Linked DNA regions of Rattus norvegicus. The protein of the gene in region 1 purifies or fractionates together with the protein of each later gene. This does not show direct contact. Links are inferred from orthologs where the notes say so. Each region holds a gene or a part of one and is shown in the gene's direction. Other genes may lie near its edges.

Region 1 (9,086 bases):
ATCTGAGATCTGAGTTGGGCAGTCTGGAACCTTCTGGTTGATGAACTTGAGCCCAGGACCTCTGTCTCCAGGGACCTCCAGATTGAGAACTTGAAGAGAGAGGTGGAGACCCTCCGTGCTGAGCTGGAGAAGATTAAGATGGAGGTGAGGGGTGTGGCCACGGGGGGCCCCAGGCGGCGGTCCCCACGCAGCCAGCGGGGCCGGGGACCCACGCTCCCTTCCCTGCCCTGCAGGCCCAGCGGTACATCTCGCAGCTGAAGGGCCAGGTGAACAGCCTGGAGGCAGAGCTGGAGGAGCAGCGGAAGCAGAAGCAGAAGGCCCTGGTGGACAACGAGCAGCTGCGCCACGAGCTGGCCCAGCTGAAAGCCCTGCAGCTGGAAGGCGCGCGCAACCAGGGCCTGCGAGAGGAGGCGGAGAGTGTGTACCGCGGGTGGCGCCTGGCGAAGGGTGAGGGGCAGAGCCTACCCTGCCTGCCCACTCCACTCAGCCTCGCCTCTCTGCAGGGAAGGCCAGTGCCACTGAGGCACGCTACAGCAAGCTGAAGGAGAAGCACAATGAACTCATTAACACGCATGCCGAGCTGCTCAGGAAGGTGGGTGCCCAGCCTCAGGAAGGGCGGTGTGGGCCGGGACCAGAGTCAGAACCCGTGCCCTGCCTTCTAGAATGCAGACACAGCCAAGCAGCTGACGGTGACACAGCAGAGCCAGGAGGAGGTGGCACGGGTAAAGGAGCAGCTGGCCTTCCAGATGGAGCAAGTGAAGCGGGAGTCTGAGATGAAGGTGTGCTCAGTGCGCGCCCCGCCCCCGCACACGCACCTCCCTGCCCCGCTGCCCTACTGACACGCAGCCCTGTCCTAGATGGAGGAGCAGAGTGACCAGCTGGAGAAGCTCAAGAGGGAGCTGGTGGCCAAGGCAGGAGAGCTGGCCCATGCCCAGGAGGCCCTGAGCCGCACGGAACAGGTGCCTGCTAGCCAGGGGCTCCCCAGTGGTGCTGGGGTCAGGCTGGGACAAGCCAGGTCCCCTGGCCTGTGGGTTGGGCCATACTTATGTGGCCGTGGGTCCTCAAGGAGGCCAGGTGGAGGCCTGACCCTCAGGAAGCTCTCGTGTCTTGGGAGGCAGTGATAATAAGACACCGCCCTGCGTGGTAGGCTGTAACTTAGGGAGTAAGGCCAGGTAGGTTCGTCATGGCTGTTGACATGTTTCACGTTCACAGAGTGGGTCAGAGCTGAGCTCACGGCTAGATACACTGAACGCAGAGAAGGAAGCACTGAGCGGAGCCATTCGGCAGCGTGAGGCAGAGCTGCTGGCTGCCCAGAGCCTGGTGCGGGAGAAGGAAGAGGCTCTTAGCCAAGAGCAGCAGCGCAGCGCCCAGGAGAAGGGCGAGCTACAGGGGCGGCTGGCAGAAAAGGTACGAGGCCTCCACCTTGCCGTCCTCCTTGTGGGGAACTCACCCTTTTGGTATGGGCGAGTCAGCATTCACCCTGCGCGCTCAGGACCTGGCGCCCTTACTGCCGAGACAGACTCGGCTCTCCGAAAGAAGCCCCAGGCTTCCTCCCGACCAGGCCTCCAAGTTCTCATTACTGTCTTCTCACTGTGACCAGTTGTATGGGTTCAAGGCTCCAGGTTTGCCCCAAATTCAGGGTAGTCCTCCTGCCTCAGCCTTCTGAGTGCTGGGTGTGTTCTGTCACCCAGGGCTGTTGATTGCGATTCTGATTTGCATTTTCTAGTCGCCTAATGATACTGAATATCCTTTTACTTTTAAAGTTGTATTTATTGTGTTCGGGGGCGGGGGAATACATATGGGGATCGAAGGTCAACCTGCAATAGTTCTTTCCTTCCACCTGGGTCCCAGGGATTGAACTCAGGTTGTCAGGTTTGGTGGAAGGCACCCTTACCCTCTGAGCCATCTTGGCAGCCCATAGAACATCTTTCTGTGTGCTCAGTGGCCTTGGGATAAGTCTGTCGAGGTCCTGGGCTGTTTCTCACTCTGTTTGCCCTGTCCTGTGTCCCCACCTCCCTACATGAGTCCTCCAAGTCCTAGGAGGTAGGGAGATGGTCTAGAAATCTCCACCCCAGTTGGATCAGGGATCCTTCCACAGGGGGTCAGCGGGTTGGGGGCAGTCACTGTCAACTGTCAGTCCTCGGAGGGAAGCCCTGGGCCTTGGGGGTCTGAAGGTCCCACCTCCCCATCAGGAGTCTCAGGAGCAGGGGCTCCAGCAGAAGCTGCTGGATGAACAGTTTGCAGTGCTGCGAGGTGCAGCCGCCGAGGCGGAGGCCATCCTGCAGGACGCAGTGAGCAAGCTGGATGACCCCCTGCACCTCCGTTGCACCAGCTCCCCAGGTCTGTGCTGCGGGCACCTCCCCCTCTGTGCAGATGGCTGCTCACCTGCCAGTGACATCACCACCCGCCACCCGGGCCCTAGAAGCCCTGGCTGAGGTGCTTGTCCTCTCTGCTTGCAGACTACTTAGTGAGCCGGGCTCAGGCAGCCCTGGACAGCGTGAGTGGCCTGGAGAAGGGCCACACCCAGTACCTGGCTTCCTCTGAGGGTGAGTACGGCTGGGGGTGGTGTGAATCTGCCGTTTCTGTGGGGTCACTGCAGCTAGAGGCACCTGGTGTGGGGTTCCCGAGGAGACAGGCACCGTGCTGCTCCTTAGAGCCTTGTGCCTGTTACCTGGCTGACATTAGTGATCTGCAGAAGTGGAGGACAGGGGGTCTGGAGTCACCCTGACTCTGCTTGGTGGCCGCCTAGCCTTTTCAGCACCCCCCTGTTTTCATATGCTGGGGTGCTGGAGCCTTAGCCCAGACTCACTGAGAAAATGGTACACTCGTCTTGGTGTTCCCCACACAAATACCCCATCGCTCCCACCCGCAGCCTTGGCCTTTGTCCCTGCAGATGCTTCCGCCCTGGTAGCAGCACTGACCCGCTTCTCCCATCTGGCCGCGGACACCATTGTCAACGGTGGCGCCACCTCGCACCTGGCCCCCACTGACCCCGCTGACCGTAAGTAGATCATGGTGACAGGGTGTGGCCTTTTCATCTTGTCTCACACAGTGAGGGTCTTCACAGTGTTCAGGGGAAAGGAGGGCCTTCCTTTGGGCAAGTCCTGGGCCAGGACATGTGGGGACCTTATCCAGGACTCTTAAGCAAAGGTTCCCCTCATAGACCTTCCCTTTACCCCAACAGGCCTGATCGACACGTGCAGGGAGTGTGGAGCCCGGGCTCTGGAGCTCATGGGACAGCTGCAGGACCAGACAAAGCTACCGAGGGCCCAGCCCAGCCTGATGCGGGCCCCTCTGCAGGGCATTCTTCAGTTGGGCCAGGTGAGGTGTGCGGCCAAGGCACTGAGCTGGGCTGAAGGGGTGCTAACTTATCTGTCCTTTCCACGAGGGAGGTAAGCAGGTGCGTGTGCTCACGGGTGTGTGTGCGCGCGCTCACAAGCTGCAGCTTCAGTGAGTAAGGCTGAACCTGCACACACCACCCTTGCCACCCTGGTCGTCTGCCTCCTGCCCATCTTTCCCTGGGCCCTGATGAAGTTGAATCTACATGTCTGACTCTTGTTTCAGGACCTGAAGCCTAAGAGCCTGGACGTCCGGCAAGAGGAGCTAGGGGCCATGGTTGACAAGGAGATGGCAGCCACCTCTGCAGCCATTGAGGACGCTGTGCGGAGGATCGAGGTGATGGCTGAGTGTCAGGACTCTCCCAATTCCTGCGGGAACTGAGGGGGCTAGAGCTGCATTTGAGCAGGGACAGATAGGATGTTCTTGGACTCTGCGGGCTCATTCTCTGTCACTGTGTACAGGACATGATGAACCAGGCCCGCCACGAGAGCTCAGGGGTGAAACTAGAGGTGAACGAGAGGTAAGTACAGCTTCCGTCCCCAAAGCCCCAGCATGAAGCGGCTTCCCTGGACCCATGAGATCCCACCTGCCTGACTGTTGAGCAGTCCAGAAAGGGGCAGGACAAGAAATTGCACACCCCCTGCCCTGCCCTGCCCTGCCCTGGTGTGGCCAAGCCTGCATTATGTCATAAGGCTACACTTCAGAGCTGTCTTCTCTCTCCTCTCTGCCTCTCCCTAGGATCCTCAACTCCTGCACAGATCTGATGAAGGTGAGTGCAGTGGGTGAGTGACTCCGAGCGGGTTTTGTGCCAGGACCACCCTGAAAGTCACACTCATCTTGGTCTTGGCAGGCCATCCGGCTCCTGGTGATGACGTCCACCAGCCTGCAGAAGGAGATTGTGGAGAGCGGCAGGGTAAGCTGTGGTCTGGCAGCCTTCATGGCTGGGTCAGAGAAATAAACTCTGATCCCCTGACTCCTTTGTGCATGACATCCCCCAAACACAGTCTGTTGCCACAGCTAAAAGCCCCCACATCTCAGGGAGGTCTCAGGGAGGTCTCGGGTGTGCCTCTGGACGATCCAAAATGTCCTTGATTGGACCATCCTGTCTTGTTCTCCCACTACCACTAGGGGGCAGCAACACAGCAGGAATTTTATGCCAAGAATTCACGGTGGACTGAAGGCCTCATCTCTGCCTCGAAGGCAGTGGGCTGGGGAGCCACACAGCTGGTGTATGTCAACCCGGGTTTGGGTGGGATGGGCAAGGTGTTAAGGTTGGGTGTGGGGCTTGCCATACTGTTCATGATACAGAAACCCAGACTCTAGATTGGCCTGATCCCTCAGGGAGTCAGCTGACAAGGTTGTGCTTCACATGGGCAAATATGAGGAACTCATCGTCTGCTCACACGAGATTGCAGCCAGCACTGCCCAGCTGGTGGCAGCCTCGAAGGTGAGGCTTTGCTGACCTCTAACCACCCCAGGTTTGACGTGTGCCAGGCCTGGGCTCGGGGCCCTTACCTGCTGCCTACAGCCAACCAACCCATGCCCTCTCTGCTCCCTGCAGGTAAAAGCCAACAAGAACAGTCCCCACCTGAGCCGCCTGCAGGAGTGTTCCCGCACTGTCAACGAGAGGGCTGCCAATGTGGTGGCCTCCACCAAGTCTGGCCAGGAGCAGATCGAGGACAGAGGCGAGCTCTCGGGTATTGAAAGGGGCTTCCCAGAGCTGGTGGGAGGGGTGTCTCAGCTACTCACTTCTCCCCCCCCCCCCCCCCCGACCACAGACACCATGGATTTCTCTGGCCTGTCTCTCATCAAGCTGAAGAAGCAGGAGATGGAGACACAGGTGCGCCCCTCGCCCCTCACACCCACTGCTGCCAGGGTCTGATCTCCGGGGAAGATCTCAGGGCAGCGCTGAGTTGGGTTTGTGGCCCACAGGTGCGAGTCTTGGAGCTGGAGAAGACGCTAGAGGCAGAGCGCGTACGGCTCGGGGAGCTTCGGAAGCAGCACTATGTACTGGCGGGGGGCATGGGGACACCTGGCGAAGAAGAACCCAGCAGACCCAGCCCAGCTCCCCGAAGTGGGGCCACTAAGAAGCCACCTCTTGCCCAGAAACCCAGCATAGCCCCCAGGCCGGACAACCAGGTACCAGGCATTGGTGCTGGGTTAGGGAGGAGTTTGCCAGCAGTGGAGTGGGGGCTACACTCACTCAGTGGTACATATGCTTCTATCTCCTCTACTGAGCCCCTCATCTTTGATCCCTGCAGCTCGACAAGAAGGATGGTGTCTACCCAGCTCAACTTGTGAACTACTAGGCCCCCTAAGGTGTTCAGCAGTTTGGCTGGGGGCTATGCCTGGGCTTCATGTGGCTGTCTGGCAGCGGTCAAGGGGCCTCTGAAAGGCCTCCAACTCCTGCACCTGGAGCCCAAAGCAGTGTCCCTAAGGCCCCAGCCTTCACCTGCCCAAGGGGCCTGGTCTCTGTGGGACAGTTCACGTGGATGTGACTCTATTTATCTCTAGTAGGAACTGCCCAGAGCAGCTGGGACCCAGCAGGCCTGAGCCACAAATCTGCAGCGGACATCTGAGATGGCTTGAACGCTGCGAGTTCTTTCTTTCCTTGTAAGTTTAGTCAGCACACTGGGAAAAGGCCACAAGCCAGGGCCTCCTTGCCTCTGGACTCAAAAGTCTGAGACCACAAGTGAACAACAGAAAGAGGGTCCCTGCTGGCTATCGGGGATAAGGGGATGACCTGTGACCCCTGAGCCAGGGAGAGCAGGTAGGCTGGCTGGGGTCATCATCTGGGGGCCTGGTGCTAGGGCACCCATGCTGGGAGCCCCAGGAGAGCAGGCTTTGTGTGGGTGCCATGGCTGTGGGCAACCCCTGCTCAGGTGCTGTCTCTAGCCTTGAAGACCTGGAAGCCGCCCTCACCCTTGCTGTTTCCATCCTTCTGGCTACTAGTGTGGCAGTCCACTGCCCACCTCGATGGCCGATTCAGCCCTCCTAAAGCTGGGGCCTTCCAGCCAGTTAGAAGCTAGGAAAAAAGCAGATGTCACAGCCCATGTTTCTGGAGGCTCAGGAATTCCTGCTGCAGAGGCCCAGGCTCGGAGGCCCAGGCTCGGAGGCCTGGCCTGGCCTGGCCTGCCCTGCTCCTGACACTTTGAATAAATTTGTGTTTCTAGAGCCCGAGGGGGAGTTGTTGGGGGTGGGGATATCTAGGCCACCAATAAAGCCAGCAGCTGGTCTGGGACAAGTGCCCAGCTTCCTCCAGCTGCCTGCCCTGAGCCCTGGGTGGCTACCAACCATGGGGCAAGGTCCGGGCGTCGGGAGGGAGCCAACTCCTTTGCCCTGGGCCTAGTATTCCTGTTGAGTCCTGTTGGCAATAAACCCTGACTGTTGTTACCAGTGCCCTAGTGAGGGCCTCCGCCAGGCTTGTCATTTCTCCAGAGGTGCACACACGGGTCTGGCCCTGTGTAACTGTCTGCAGTTGACACTGGGACCTGAGGACTGCTTGCTAGAGCAGCTGGCAGCTGGCACCAGTCTTTCCATAGTTTGCTATAGACCATCCTTACTCAAGGCTTCCCTAATCGAGCCCTCGCTATTCCAGCCTGGAACCCCTGTGATCTCCCTAGGGTCTCACCGGGAGTTAACACCAGTCGCCACACCTGAGAGCATGTGTTACAGTTAAGTCCAGACTTGTAGTGTCTGAGCTGGTGGGTGAGGTAGGACCTTGACCTGCATGTCACGCACTCCGTGTTCTAGAGAGCACTGCTCAACTCCTCATCCCTACTCGGCATTTGTATGACACGAGATGGTGTGTGCTCTCGGGAGAGTCAAGGCCCACTGTCAAGCCTGCCTTCTCCAGATAGAGCCAGCTCACCAGGGAGGCTGGGCAAATGCTTTGCAGATTGATCTCCAGTCAGCTGCCGGGTCTGAATCCTGTTTTACAGAACTTCAGAGCACTTCTTAGTGTTTATATTTACAAACCTGGCCCACCCTAGGCAGTGATCCAAGGTCTCATGTGACCTAGCATCCTGAGGACTTAAACCTAGAACTGAGACTAGTCACTTCAAGTATCCCACAGCAAGTCAGTCCTACCCCATCCTTCACCTCGCTTCCCTGGTTCCACTCAGAAGTAAAAAGGGCCCAAGTGGGAGAAAATGATTGGGTAGGTCTGCGTTCATAACGACTCCTAATTCAGCCATTCAGCCGGGAAGTCCCAGGGGCTGGTCCTGACCAGAGTCCATTTCTTAATAAAGCTTGCTTTAAACCACCAAGCAAGTCCTCCCAGGAGGGAGGGGCTGTAAGCTAGCAACTGCAGTGAAAGACGATCAGATCCTTTCCAAGGTGGTTTCCCAGGACAAGCCTCCCTCTTCCTCATAGCATCTTCCCTATCAGAGGCCGGCCAGCTTGCACAGGACCAGTCTTGCATCAAGGCCCTTGTGCAGCTCAGCAACGATCGGGAGAGCACAGGTCACAGGGACAGCAGGCACAGTTACCGGTGATCATGACATTCCCAGGTAAAGCAGTGGCACGATCAGAGAAGAGAAATGCAACAAACTGAAATTAATAATTCTCAATTTATTAAGAGGTCTACACCTTTACAGCCACGGTGCCAGCTCTGGCCCGGCAAGGTCAGCCTGGCAGCCCCTTTCCTACATCCACCTGGAGCTCCCATGTGGCTGCAGCCCAGGACTGGGCAGTGGGCGTTCCTGGTGGCAGCTGGTGGCAGAGGTATTGAGGTGGCACATACAGCTTTGTCTCTACAGAATAGTTCCAGTAGGGTACAGAGTCCAAATCCGTGATGAGGAATATAGGATGACTTGGGGACAAAGGCTGATGGTCCTGCCGGTGGCCCAGCTGGGACAGGCTCTAACCAGCGCTGCCTTGACTGTTGCCCTGGGCTGCAGCCAGCTGGCAGGGTGGAGGGGGTTCTGAGTTCTACCAACAGTCGCGCAGCCCTCTTCGCAGAACAGGTGTGGGACTGCCCCTCCCCGGCTGGGCCTTGGGAACTCTGCACATGGGGCACCTGCAGATGAGGTCCCAGAGAGGACGGAGCTGCTGCCGCCAATCCTGTGGGGTGGGCCTTCCCCAAACCCATTCCGTGCCTTGGCCGACACCTGCAGCACAGCCAGCTGCCTAAGTCATCCTGGTTGGAGGAGGAGGGACCCTTTCTGACCTGTCACAAAGTGATGTGGCCTGTTAGGCCCCGCCTAACGGCTCTGTAGGGCAGCTGTGGCTGGCACGCTGCAGGCATCTGAGCCCTGGCACCAGGTGAAGCTAAGGCACAGCACGGCCACGGACGGATGTGACCACGCACTGCTCGCCTGACAGGAAGCGGCACTCAATAAATCTGCATTTTTAACCAACTCAAAACAGTCTATCTGCATTTTTAAAAAAGTTTCCCTGAATGGTCTTGAGAGTGTCAAAAAAGTTTTCTTTTGAAATATAAAACAGGAAAATTACAAGTGTAGTAAAAACACTGAGTATTTTTTTCACAGAAACCGTCATGCGGCTTGACGGTGTGAGGGGAGGGCTGAGGGCTGTACTGTGCAACACACTGGCCTCACCCCCAGGGCCACAGCTCTCCTGGCCTCTGCACACAGCAGCCAAGTGCAAATTCTGCCTGTGACTTGGAACCATGAAAGCATCCAGCTTGGCGGGAACACGAGGTCACTGTGATGCCCTGCCCTGCACAGATTCAATGAACAGCATAGCTGCCCAGCATGGCCTGGGCACCGGCACACGCTCCGGCT
Region 2 (10,051 bases), on another chromosome or scaffold:
TTTGGGCCTCTCAGTTCATATATTATGTCCTTATGAGATTGGCTCCAAATATTTGTCTGTGGATTGGTGCTGACCAATGACGGTTTTCTCAGGGTCTTAGGTAAAGCAAGAGTAGGTTCTTTCTCTTTCTTTTCTCCCTCCCTCCTCCTCTCTCCCTCTCCCCTTCTTCCTTCCCTTCCCCTCCCTCCTTCTTTTCTCCTCTCTCCCTCTCTTCTCTCTGTCTCCCTTCCTCTTTCTCCTTAGAGTGTATCTTTTGAAGTAGTGGTGTTAGTTGGGTTTGTTGTTTGCTTATTGTTTGTTGAGGTAGTGTTTCACCATGTGGCCCAGATTAGCCCCAGATGCCTTCTGCTTCTACTCTCTGAAAGTGTTTTTGTTTTTGTAGCTTTCCTCAGTGTTATGTACCTATATGTTTGTAGGATGTGTTTGTGTGGTGTGTGTATGCCATGCCCTGACATGGAGGTTAGTTTGTGGAGTTGGTTCTCTGCTATGGAGTTCTGGTGATTGGTCTCAGGATGAGACTTCCATGGCAAGATCTTTACCTGCTAAGCCATCTCGTTGGCTCAACATTGAGGTTTTGTGTTTTTGTTTGAAGTAGCTTTTTAAGTTGAGAATCCTGCTAAGTAACTGAAAAAGTGACAGAAGAATGTTATGTTAATCATATCTTTACTTTTATTACAGTTATTATAATTAATATAATTATAACTTATATGTACATTTATTATACATTTATCTACCTATATCAATGTGTACATGCACATGTACATACAGAAAAGATGACTATCTTAGAAATATGTTTCCCCAGACATTATTACAAATTATTTGAAATTACATTTTTGTCTATGTAGGATCTTTTTTTTTTAGACTTGAGGTACATGTTTTGGTGTTGTTTTTTTTTTTTTCCTTTTTAACCTTTCTTTTTGTACTTATAGCTAATTATTTTTTAGTTATTCAATTAATCACCTTAAAGACTTGAGAAGATGGTTCTCCTATAATAGGAAATAATGAAGTTGTTTTAAGATTGCTATAAAGGGACATTATAAAAGAAATTGAGCATTAGCTATAATGTACTAGATATAAATTATTGTTACGTATATGGCCAATAGGGTAGTGTTCCTTTAGCCAAGATTAATCCAAAAGTCCTTGAAGTAGCATACATCTTACAATGTGGTGGTAACATGAGCACATGTGTAAGCACTATAATGTTTTGCACTTAAGAAGCTATGGGAAGGGCTGGAAAGATGGCTCTGGGTGAGAGCATTGACTGCTCTTCTAGAGGTCTTGAGTTCAAATCCCAGCAACCACATGGTAGCTCACAGTCATCTGTAATGAGATCTGGTGCCCTCTTCTGGTGTGTCTGAAGACAGACAGCTATAGTGTACTCATAATAAGTAAATAAATAAAGAAAGAAAGAAATAAAGAAATATTTTTTAAAAAAGAAGCTCTGATAAGAACTATTATTAAGCCCATAGAATGTTAAAGTGTTGAACACTTATAATGTTAATAAATCCAAGAGTCTAGAATTCTGAGATCCTTTTGAAAGACTGGTCAAAAGATGTAAATACTAAATGATTTTATACTATGTATTTGTTTCACATCCTGAGACCAGTGTTTTTAAAGTAAAAGTAATTTAAGGGTTTAAACAAGGCTTTAAAAACCTATGGATCTTAAATATTCATATTATAACCGCAGATACTAGTTTAAACTGGGATCACTAATATGTACAACACTTTGTAAGGAAGGGTATCAAAAAGCCATTGGAGGGCTGGAGAGATAGCTGAGGGGCTGGGCACTGGCTGCTTTCTCAGGGGATCCAGTCAGTTCTCAGATCACATGGCAGCTCACAGGTGTCTGTGACTTTAGTTCCAGGAGATCTGATGCCTTTTACTCCACAGGATCCTGCTTATGTATGTGCACGTGTGCGCGCGCGCGCACACACACACACACACACACACACAGAGAAAGAGTAAGTAAGAAACAAAAACTCTTAAAATTGCTTAAGCCAGCAGTGTTCTTCATATCCTTGGGAAATTAAGTGAGGTTTTGAAGATGGGTCTCCTCTCTGGGAGAAAGAGAATCTGTGTAGAACTTGAGAAGTTCCCTTGTTGATATAAATGCTAACCTTCTAAAATCAGGTGCTTTTATTTATGTTTTTTTCATTCTGACTTGATAGAACCTAGGAAGCAAGAGATTTTAGAAGAAAGTCACTACAGCCTCATATAAGAATCTCTTTTTGGGATCCTTTGCAGACTATTTACCTAAATATTTTTAGTGATTCAAAGCTCCTCAAGTCATGCAATAGGTAACCTTTTTAGATGGTTTTTAATTATTTTTAGCTTCTATAATTTTACATACTCAACTTTAGGAAAATATAACCTGAGAATTAAAGCTTTTATGTTTACTCGGCATTAGCAGGCCTCCAAGACTCAATCTTGGTACTTGTTATGATAGCACTATTAGGTCCGGGATAAAATTAGAAAGTGAGGTTGTTTTGTTGTATGGGGCTGTGTTTCAGGCTAGCTTTAGGTTAATTAACATACTTGGTCCCATACCCGTCATTCCTATTGTTAAAAATGGTAAGTGAATTGAGAGAGTAAATGGGAGTTGAAAGAAGAATTTTTTTTTAATATGTTTTAAAAACAGGCAGAAACATTTGTGAGATTGCAACTTTTAGAATCCTGGCAGTTCTCAGATTATCTTAAACCATATAATTTTGGGGGCAGTGATACGGCTCAGTGGGTTAAAGGTGGCTTCTGCCAAGCAGTGAGACCTGAATTTGTATCCCAAACTTGCATGGTGGAAAAAAAGAACTAACACTCAGAGTTGTCTTCTGACTGTAGCACATGCATGCCCACAAGCATATACACAGACACACACAAATAAATGTAACAGGAAAACCGTTTTCTTTTAATTGTGACCATTTGGGTGAAGTAGGGAAAGCGAAAGTAGGTAAGAGATACAGACTACAGAAGGTTGTAGGAAGAGAGATAGCATGGTGTTTTAAATGACTTCATGTTTTAAGAAATTATAAGATGCAAAATTAATATAAAATACAGGAAAAAGTTTCATTTCTATGATGAAGTAAACTCATGGTTCAATATATGTTGTTTATTCTGCGTTTTCTTAGTGGGAGATTTTAATGGAAATGTAGCTGGTGTTGATGGTTCATACCTATAATCTCAGCATTTGGGTGCTGAGACAAGAGGATCATTTGGACCACAATGTGATACTATGTCTTTAAAAAACAGGAATGTGATATCTAATGGATAAAACTTTTGTTTTAAAAACTAGCTTTTTTTGTTAAGGAATTTATTACTTTCCCAGTTCTATTACCATTATTAAATGTAATTTATAGTGATTTAAATTAATTTAAAGGTAATTCATAAGTGAATTAAGTGAATTTAAAGGTAATTCATATATTTCACATTTATATTTAACTATTGATGTAGTATGTAGAGAATTGAGGATTTTTGCATTTTGCTTTTTCTTAGGATTCAGTCCTTCTCCGGTTACACAGCCACATCCTTCAGCTGGCCTTAATGTTGACTTTGAATCTGTGTTTGGAAATAAGTCTACGAATGTTGCTGTAGATTCTGGTGGTAAGAAACGAATTTTTGTTGTTTTTATTTAAAATATGATAGCATTTTAATGTAGATCCTCTATAGAAAACGTGATGCTGCTTTTAGTGTTTATAAGTTAGAGTAAATTGATCTTCTTCCCCCAAACCACTTGATGGGAACTTAGAGTATTAATTTTACCTTTTTCTTGGTAGCATTTTAGAGTTTAGAGAAGTTTTCTTTGTTCCATTGCACAATAAGAGAACAACTTCTTGGTAAAGTGCTAAATTGTTAGTGACTATTTGGAAAGTGCTATATAGCTTTTCAGTCATAATTTTTTTTGTGCTGAAGTGAATACTGACCATTCAGTATTACAGTGTGTGAGGTTATTTTTTAAACTGAGGACATAGTGAGTAGTACCCTGACGTGTTTAGATAGGTTCTACATAAGTAAGTAGAGTATGTTAAAAGGTTAAAGGCTTTTTTGGAAATTATTTTAATAGTGATTATTATTAAGGTACACCTACTAATTTGTATTTTAAAAACTATAAAACTCTAGAATGAGGATTGTACTTTGTTTCTTGTTAGCTTGAAGTTTATAAAGTACATATGAACTTTAATGTTCTAATTTTACTCCTAAAAGGAAATGACCACTGACTTTGACTAACAATTAAATTTTAACTTTAAAACATATTGAGGTGTTTTTAGTTACATAATATATAATTAGTTATCCATAAAGTAAGAAGCAAGCTTGTTTGCATGGACAAAGACTTTATTTAGTGTATACTAATAGGTTTATAGTTTTATATTTGAAAGATCATTTGCATGTGCACATAGGCGCATTTGGAGGCCAGAAGAGGGCATTGGATTCCCTAGAACTAGAGTTATAGTAGGCAGTTGTGAGCCACCATGTGGTAAAGGGAACCAAGGGACTCATCTCTCCAGTCCCTGACGTAGGAGCAGGGTGAGAAGCTCTCTATAATGTATGCCCTCTTGGGCATGTGAGATGGCTCAGTGGTAAGGATGCTTAACTGCAAAGCCTCATAACCTTAGTTCAGTCTCCAGGATTCACATTGGAGGAGAGAATAAACTCCTTCAGGTTTTCCTTTGACACATACACATACATGTTTTTTTAAAAAACAGTTTATTGTGGCTGAGCATGTTGGTATGCCTTTAATTCCACCACTAGGAAGGCAAAGATTGGTAGACCTCTGAATTCGATGTCAGCCTGGTCTACATAGATGTTCTGGCCCAGTTAGAGCTATGCAGTGAAGACCTGTCAACCTTTTTTTTTTTTTCTTATTTTTTTAAGTTAAAAGATTTAATATTTTAAAATTGTGTGTACAGAGGTGGGCAGGTTCCTGCACATGAGTGCAAGTGCTTGCAGAGGCTAGAGACATTGGGCACCCTGGGCTCAGGTTACAGTGGTCCCACCTGATGTGCCTACAGAGAATCTCTCAGCCATTTCTTCAGCTCCAATGTAAGACATTATAAAATATTCTTTCTCAACATAAAAAGGGACTTGAGGATTGAGTGTTTAGGAAAATTGTGCTGGAATAGGGAGAGATTTACAATCCCCTTTGATAGTGTTTTGTTATCGCCCCCTTTAACCTGGATATGATTCTGTCATTAGATCTTAGGCATACTATTTCTGTTACGTTCACTTGAAGATGGCAGATTTTTCTTCTTTCCACGTGAGGGCATTTCCCGTGTTCTGGGAAAACTTCCAGTGAGTAAACAAGGAGAAAAGGGAGAGAACTCCTTAGAAAGCTGTAGCCCATGAAGTTCCTTACGCATCCCATTTCATCTGTTTGTAACTTTAAGGCTTTGATGAACTAGGTGGACTTCTCAAACCAACAGTGGCCTCTCAGAACCAGAGTCTTCCTGTTGCCAAACTTGCGCCTAACAAATTAGTGTCTGATGACTTGGATTCATCTTTAGCCAACCTTGTGGGCAGTAAGTAGTCCTTTGCTTCTTCAGTCATCCTTAAGCGTAAGTTGTTTATTAATATGATTCTAGTTTTTAAATACTTTTCTCTTTTCTTAGATCTTGGCATTGGAAATGGAACCACTAAGAAGTAAGTGTCTTATTTGTCTTATTTAACTATTAGATAGAACCTGATGTTACCATCACTTCAGACGTACATTTAGCGATGTCAGCTTGGTACTGTAAATGCTCAGTATGCTCATATTGTACAGAAACATTGTGTGTTTGTGTTCATTTAAAGTGATGTAAGTTGGAGTCAACCAGGTGAAAAGAAGTTAACTGGAGGATCTAACTGGCAACCAAAGGTTGCACCAACAACTGCCTGGAGTGCTGCAACAATGGTGAGCTGGAACAGTTACATATTACTACCTGAACTATAACAAAAATGTAACATAGACATAAGTAGAAACATTATTACTGTTTTATTAAGTACTTCACTGTTTCTTTAAAGCTGATTGGCTGTCTTTGTCAGGCACATTTTAACCCCTAACCTGTATTTAAAATGATTCCATACTAGACATCATTCTAGTGCATATTGTGTGACTGTGATAAGAGCTATTATTTTTCTCCCACTTGGTACAAACACAGTTACTAAGAAGTGCAGCAGTGTTGCAGAGTTCTTGAGTAATGGAATACATACTTAGTGTGTCACCTAGAAGCAACAGATAGGGAGCTCTTAATCATACTGTCTTGTTGCTCTCAAATTTATTTCTTTTTTGTAACCTAAAATCCTTATATCCTTTAGACCTGATGATGAGTAAACAATTTATTTTCTTAGGTTTTCTTAGTATTATATAGTTTGTGAAGTTGATTCCAATTATTTGTGGCCACTCAATATTTGATTGAGGTCCCCCTGATAACTGAATTAGTGAGCCGTTGCTAGGGGAAACATTCATATATTTCACATTTTAATTTCACATCCTAAAAAGCTGCATTCTAAGCCAGACATACTAGTGCATGGCCTGTAATTCCAAAATTTGGAGGCAGAACCTCTAATTTATTACATCTTACTGAGGAATGAACAATTTATATACCTCTGCACATGTTCATGAAAGTACTGTGAATGTTGAACTTGGAGATTATAAAGTTCACTTAATACCAAACAGATATTAACAGTGTTTGTTAGTTAAGTAGCAGCTAGAACTAAAGAAGTTCTATTGATGTTTTAACTACTGTAAGGCATTGTGAACCCAGAATAGCTTATGACCACTTTTCCATCTTTGGCCTGCTTTATCTTCGTCTACCAAGTTTCTTCTCCCTTAGTCAGGGAAATACATACCCCTTTCTTTCAGCGGGATGATAGCAGGGTTTTGATCACTTAGGTGCTGTATAGTCTAACTCCCCCCCCCCCCCCCCCCCGCCCAGTTGTTGTTAGAAAGCTCCATTGTGTTTAATAAAGTCCCTTGTAGGATATTGCTCTCTTTACTTTGGGTTGCTTATATGCTAAAATTGTGGGCTGAGGCTAAATCTGTGTACTAACAAAAGTTTTGGGGTTTTTAAAGATTTATTTATTTATTTTAAGTAGTGAGTACACTACAGCTGTCTTCAGACACACCAGAAGGGGGCATTGTATCCTATTACAGATGGTTGTGAGCCACCATGTGGTTGCTGGGAATTGAACTTAGGGTGTCTAGAAGAGCAGTCAGTGCTTTTAACTGCTGAGCCATCTCTCCAGCCCTTGACTACTTTTAAAAGAGTTAATAGCTTTAGACTTTATAAAATAAAAGACTCAAGTTTAATTTTGTTGGTTTTGTTTTGTTTTGTTTTAAGGAGGCAGGTGTGAGCCTGTGCAAAAGTTTTGTTATAGAGCCCAAACTGACTCTGAATTTACTAAGTGGTCCAAATCAGCTTCAAATGTACCATCCTTCTCCCTTGGCCTCCCAAATACTGGAATCACAGGTTTCTAACACCATGTCTGGCTGCATAGTTTAGGTTTTTACATACAAACACAGCATATGCACATGACTTAAAGTAAGTGTAAGAATATAGTGTTCTCTCAGGAGAGTTGGAGCATGCATGTATATATATATATATGCATGCATCACTTTGAAGTACAATATTATCTGTGCTGCTTTTTTTAAATCCCCATGTGAATAGAGGTTGAAAAACTGATTTAAGTTGAAACCTGATTCTGAATCTAGTGTTTTTCCATTATGGCATTCCTCAGTGACTAAAACTGCTGGCCACAGTTAGGTTAGTGGGCTTTCTGGCTGCAGATAGGATTATTCATTAATAATGTCTGTGCAGTGCTGTAAGTACTACAACTAATATGAAGTCACAGTGGGTATTTGCTTATTTAATGTTAAGTCAGTATCCATCCGAAAGCTTTAGGTAGTATTTACCTTAAAATTGACTACTAGAATGTAATAAACACCTAACCATCTAGCATTGTATGTAAATTGTCAAAATAACAGTGTATTGTATACGTTAGTGTGAGTCATCTCTTAAGATATCTTAAGGTATTTGTGTATGGTTGATAGTTTATTTTTTGAGGGCTAACATGTGGGGCCTGTGATGTGACTCACTGAGAATAAACTGCTGCTTATGGTGTTTCTTTACATTTCTAACCTTTTGATTAATTCTTAAACACTGTCAAGGTTTTTAATTTTTAAAATTGTAAATAAATACATTTATTTTATTAAAATATCTGTTATGCCACAAACTCTTTTCATTGATGGTCCTGCCCTGGTGGTAGACATGTGGTGTCACATTATTTTGAGAATGCCCTTGAATTTTCCTTAACTGATGTCACTACTTTGTTTTAAATACATTTGTAGATAGTAAAGGATTGTGTATATAAAGGAAGATAGCTAAGTTCAACCCTTTTCAACCTTGATAGTGTTTTGGTAACAAATGTTATTAGATATAAAAATACCCAGAATTTTAGGTAGTGAATGTACATGTAAACTAAAATGCTCTCTGTGTATTTTGTTGTGTAAGTACTTGCTCTAATCCAGTGTTATTGCATTATGTAATTGTTCTCCCTGGGAAAAACAGAATGGCATGCATTTTCCACAATACGTAAGTGACCAAAAACTAGCCTCTTTTTTTCTTTTTTTTTTTGCAATAAATTGGCATGCTATTAACCACCGCTGCAGCAGAATCTCATAACCTTCCGGCTATTCCTTGTTTTCACATCAGATTTTCAGTGTGCCACAAATTATTCCTAGCATCTACTGATCTTCATGGGTGTGTTGCAGAATTGATTCTGATGGTGGCATGGGAAATACCAATTTTTCTTTCTTGCTTTAATATTCCGCCATTTGCTGCCAGATGGCTGGGTGTCTGTGTGTATCTGTGCTGCCACCATGCACTTGATGACTTTTGAATGAAGAGAAATGTTGACTGTGGTAATGTTTAAAATAACGATTGCATGTAACCTTCCAGGCTTCTGCTGTACTTGGCAGTTTGTCTTACTGCTCTTGTAGATCTTGGTTTTGCAGTAGGGAGAGACCAATACTCCCTACATGCTCACCTAAATACTAAACTCCACTCTTCAGTGTTATTTTTATAGTTACGCTTTAGTTAACTTCATGCATATGTTCAAACTGCTGCATAATTTCATGTTTTCAAACATTTTAGCTGTGTTCTTGGTCTTTCACCTGTATTCAATTTTAGCTTTTTATGAGAGAGATGTAGGGAATATTGTTAAGACAGCAGCCATATCTAAAATAGTATGTTTCTAGTATGTTTACAAGTCATCAATAAAAGAAGTAGGACAAGGAATCCTCACTAAAATATCACTTACAGTTGTTCCTCTTAAGTATTTGATAGTTTTAGAACAAATTAAAAAGTTAAAATACAGCTACCTATGTGAAAGCTGTCATCATAGGAGTAGTAACTCAAGGTCTCCCTGTGTTTTTTTTTTTTTTTAACATAATTGATATGGGATCATTAGGGTTTTTTCCTTCTAGTACTAAAGAAACACATTAAGAAACAGTCCATATTATGTTTTTCTTGATAAACATTTTTTATGAAAATGATGGGCTTTAGAGTTTGGAACTTTTGGATATTTTTAAATACCTGAAGACTAATTGTTTTCTTATTTTGGTATAGCTGTGGATAGGACAAGTACTCTGTCAGAGTCTTTGAAAGCTATAAGCTGTAAAGTATGTTGTGTTCGTAGACTAGGTCGAGTCTAAGCTTAAGTGGTTTTTTTTTTTTTCTTTTAACAATTTTGCTTTTCTGCTAATTTTGAATTTTTCTCACTGAGTATTAATTCACAGTTTCCAGTAATCATTAATGTCACTTAATCATAGCTGTCTTAGCAATTTGTTTTAAATAGGAATCTGACAATCCTTTAAATGCATGAGATGCAGGAATTAACATTTCCTGTTTTACTTTTTCTTTTGCCATATCAGGCACCCCCTGTAATGGCCTATCCTGCTACTACACCAACGGGCATGATAGGATATGGAATTGTAAGTATATTTCTAAATATAGTTTTTGGAAAGTAGGGTAATTTATTCTTAACATGATTTATTACAACCTTAGATTAAAAAAAAAAGTAGT

What was found.
Region 2: the proteins of Hip1r (region 1) and Picalm fractionate together in Homo sapiens (co-fractionation; 3 studies listed by BioGRID and IntAct, with this or other methods). This does not show direct contact. The link is inferred for Rattus norvegicus from reciprocal best matches to the Homo sapiens genes HIP1R and PICALM.

What each region holds. Positions count from the first base shown.
Region 1 is NC_086030.1:38,248,742-38,257,827, reverse strand, and holds the end of Hip1r (huntingtin-interacting protein 1-related protein), read left to right. Parts: intron 1-71; coding exon 72-144; intron 145-233; coding exon 234-417; intron 418-503; coding exon 504-592; intron 593-662; coding exon 663-779; intron 780-857; coding exon 858-959; intron 960-1,212; coding exon 1,213-1,407; intron 1,408-2,192; coding exon 2,193-2,340; intron 2,341-2,459; coding exon 2,460-2,546; intron 2,547-2,872; coding exon of another isoform or gene 2,873-2,893; coding exon 2,894-3,001; intron 3,002-3,184; coding exon 3,185-3,321; intron 3,322-3,564; coding exon 3,565-3,675; intron 3,676-3,800; coding exon 3,801-3,859; intron 3,860-4,077; coding exon 4,078-4,108; intron 4,109-4,189; coding exon 4,190-4,252; intron 4,253-4,467; coding exon 4,468-4,568; intron 4,569-4,680; coding exon 4,681-4,786; intron 4,787-4,900; coding exon 4,901-5,024; intron 5,025-5,117; coding exon 5,118-5,179; intron 5,180-5,271; coding exon 5,272-5,478; coding exon of another isoform or gene 5,479-5,600; and 3 more. UniProt on the Homo sapiens protein: Component of clathrin-coated pits and vesicles, that may link the endocytic machinery to the actin cytoskeleton. Binds 3-phosphoinositides (via ENTH domain).
Region 2 is NC_086019.1:153,527,918-153,537,968, forward strand, and holds part of Picalm (phosphatidylinositol-binding clathrin assembly protein), read left to right. Parts: intron 1-3,488; coding exon 3,489-3,596; intron 3,597-5,377; coding exon 5,378-5,509; intron 5,510-5,599; coding exon 5,600-5,630; intron 5,631-5,780; coding exon 5,781-5,880; intron 5,881-8,536; coding exon 8,537-8,560; intron 8,561-9,900; coding exon 9,901-9,960; intron 9,961-10,051. UniProt on the Homo sapiens protein: Cytoplasmic adapter protein that plays a critical role in clathrin-mediated endocytosis which is important in processes such as internalization of cell receptors, synaptic transmission or removal of apoptotic cells.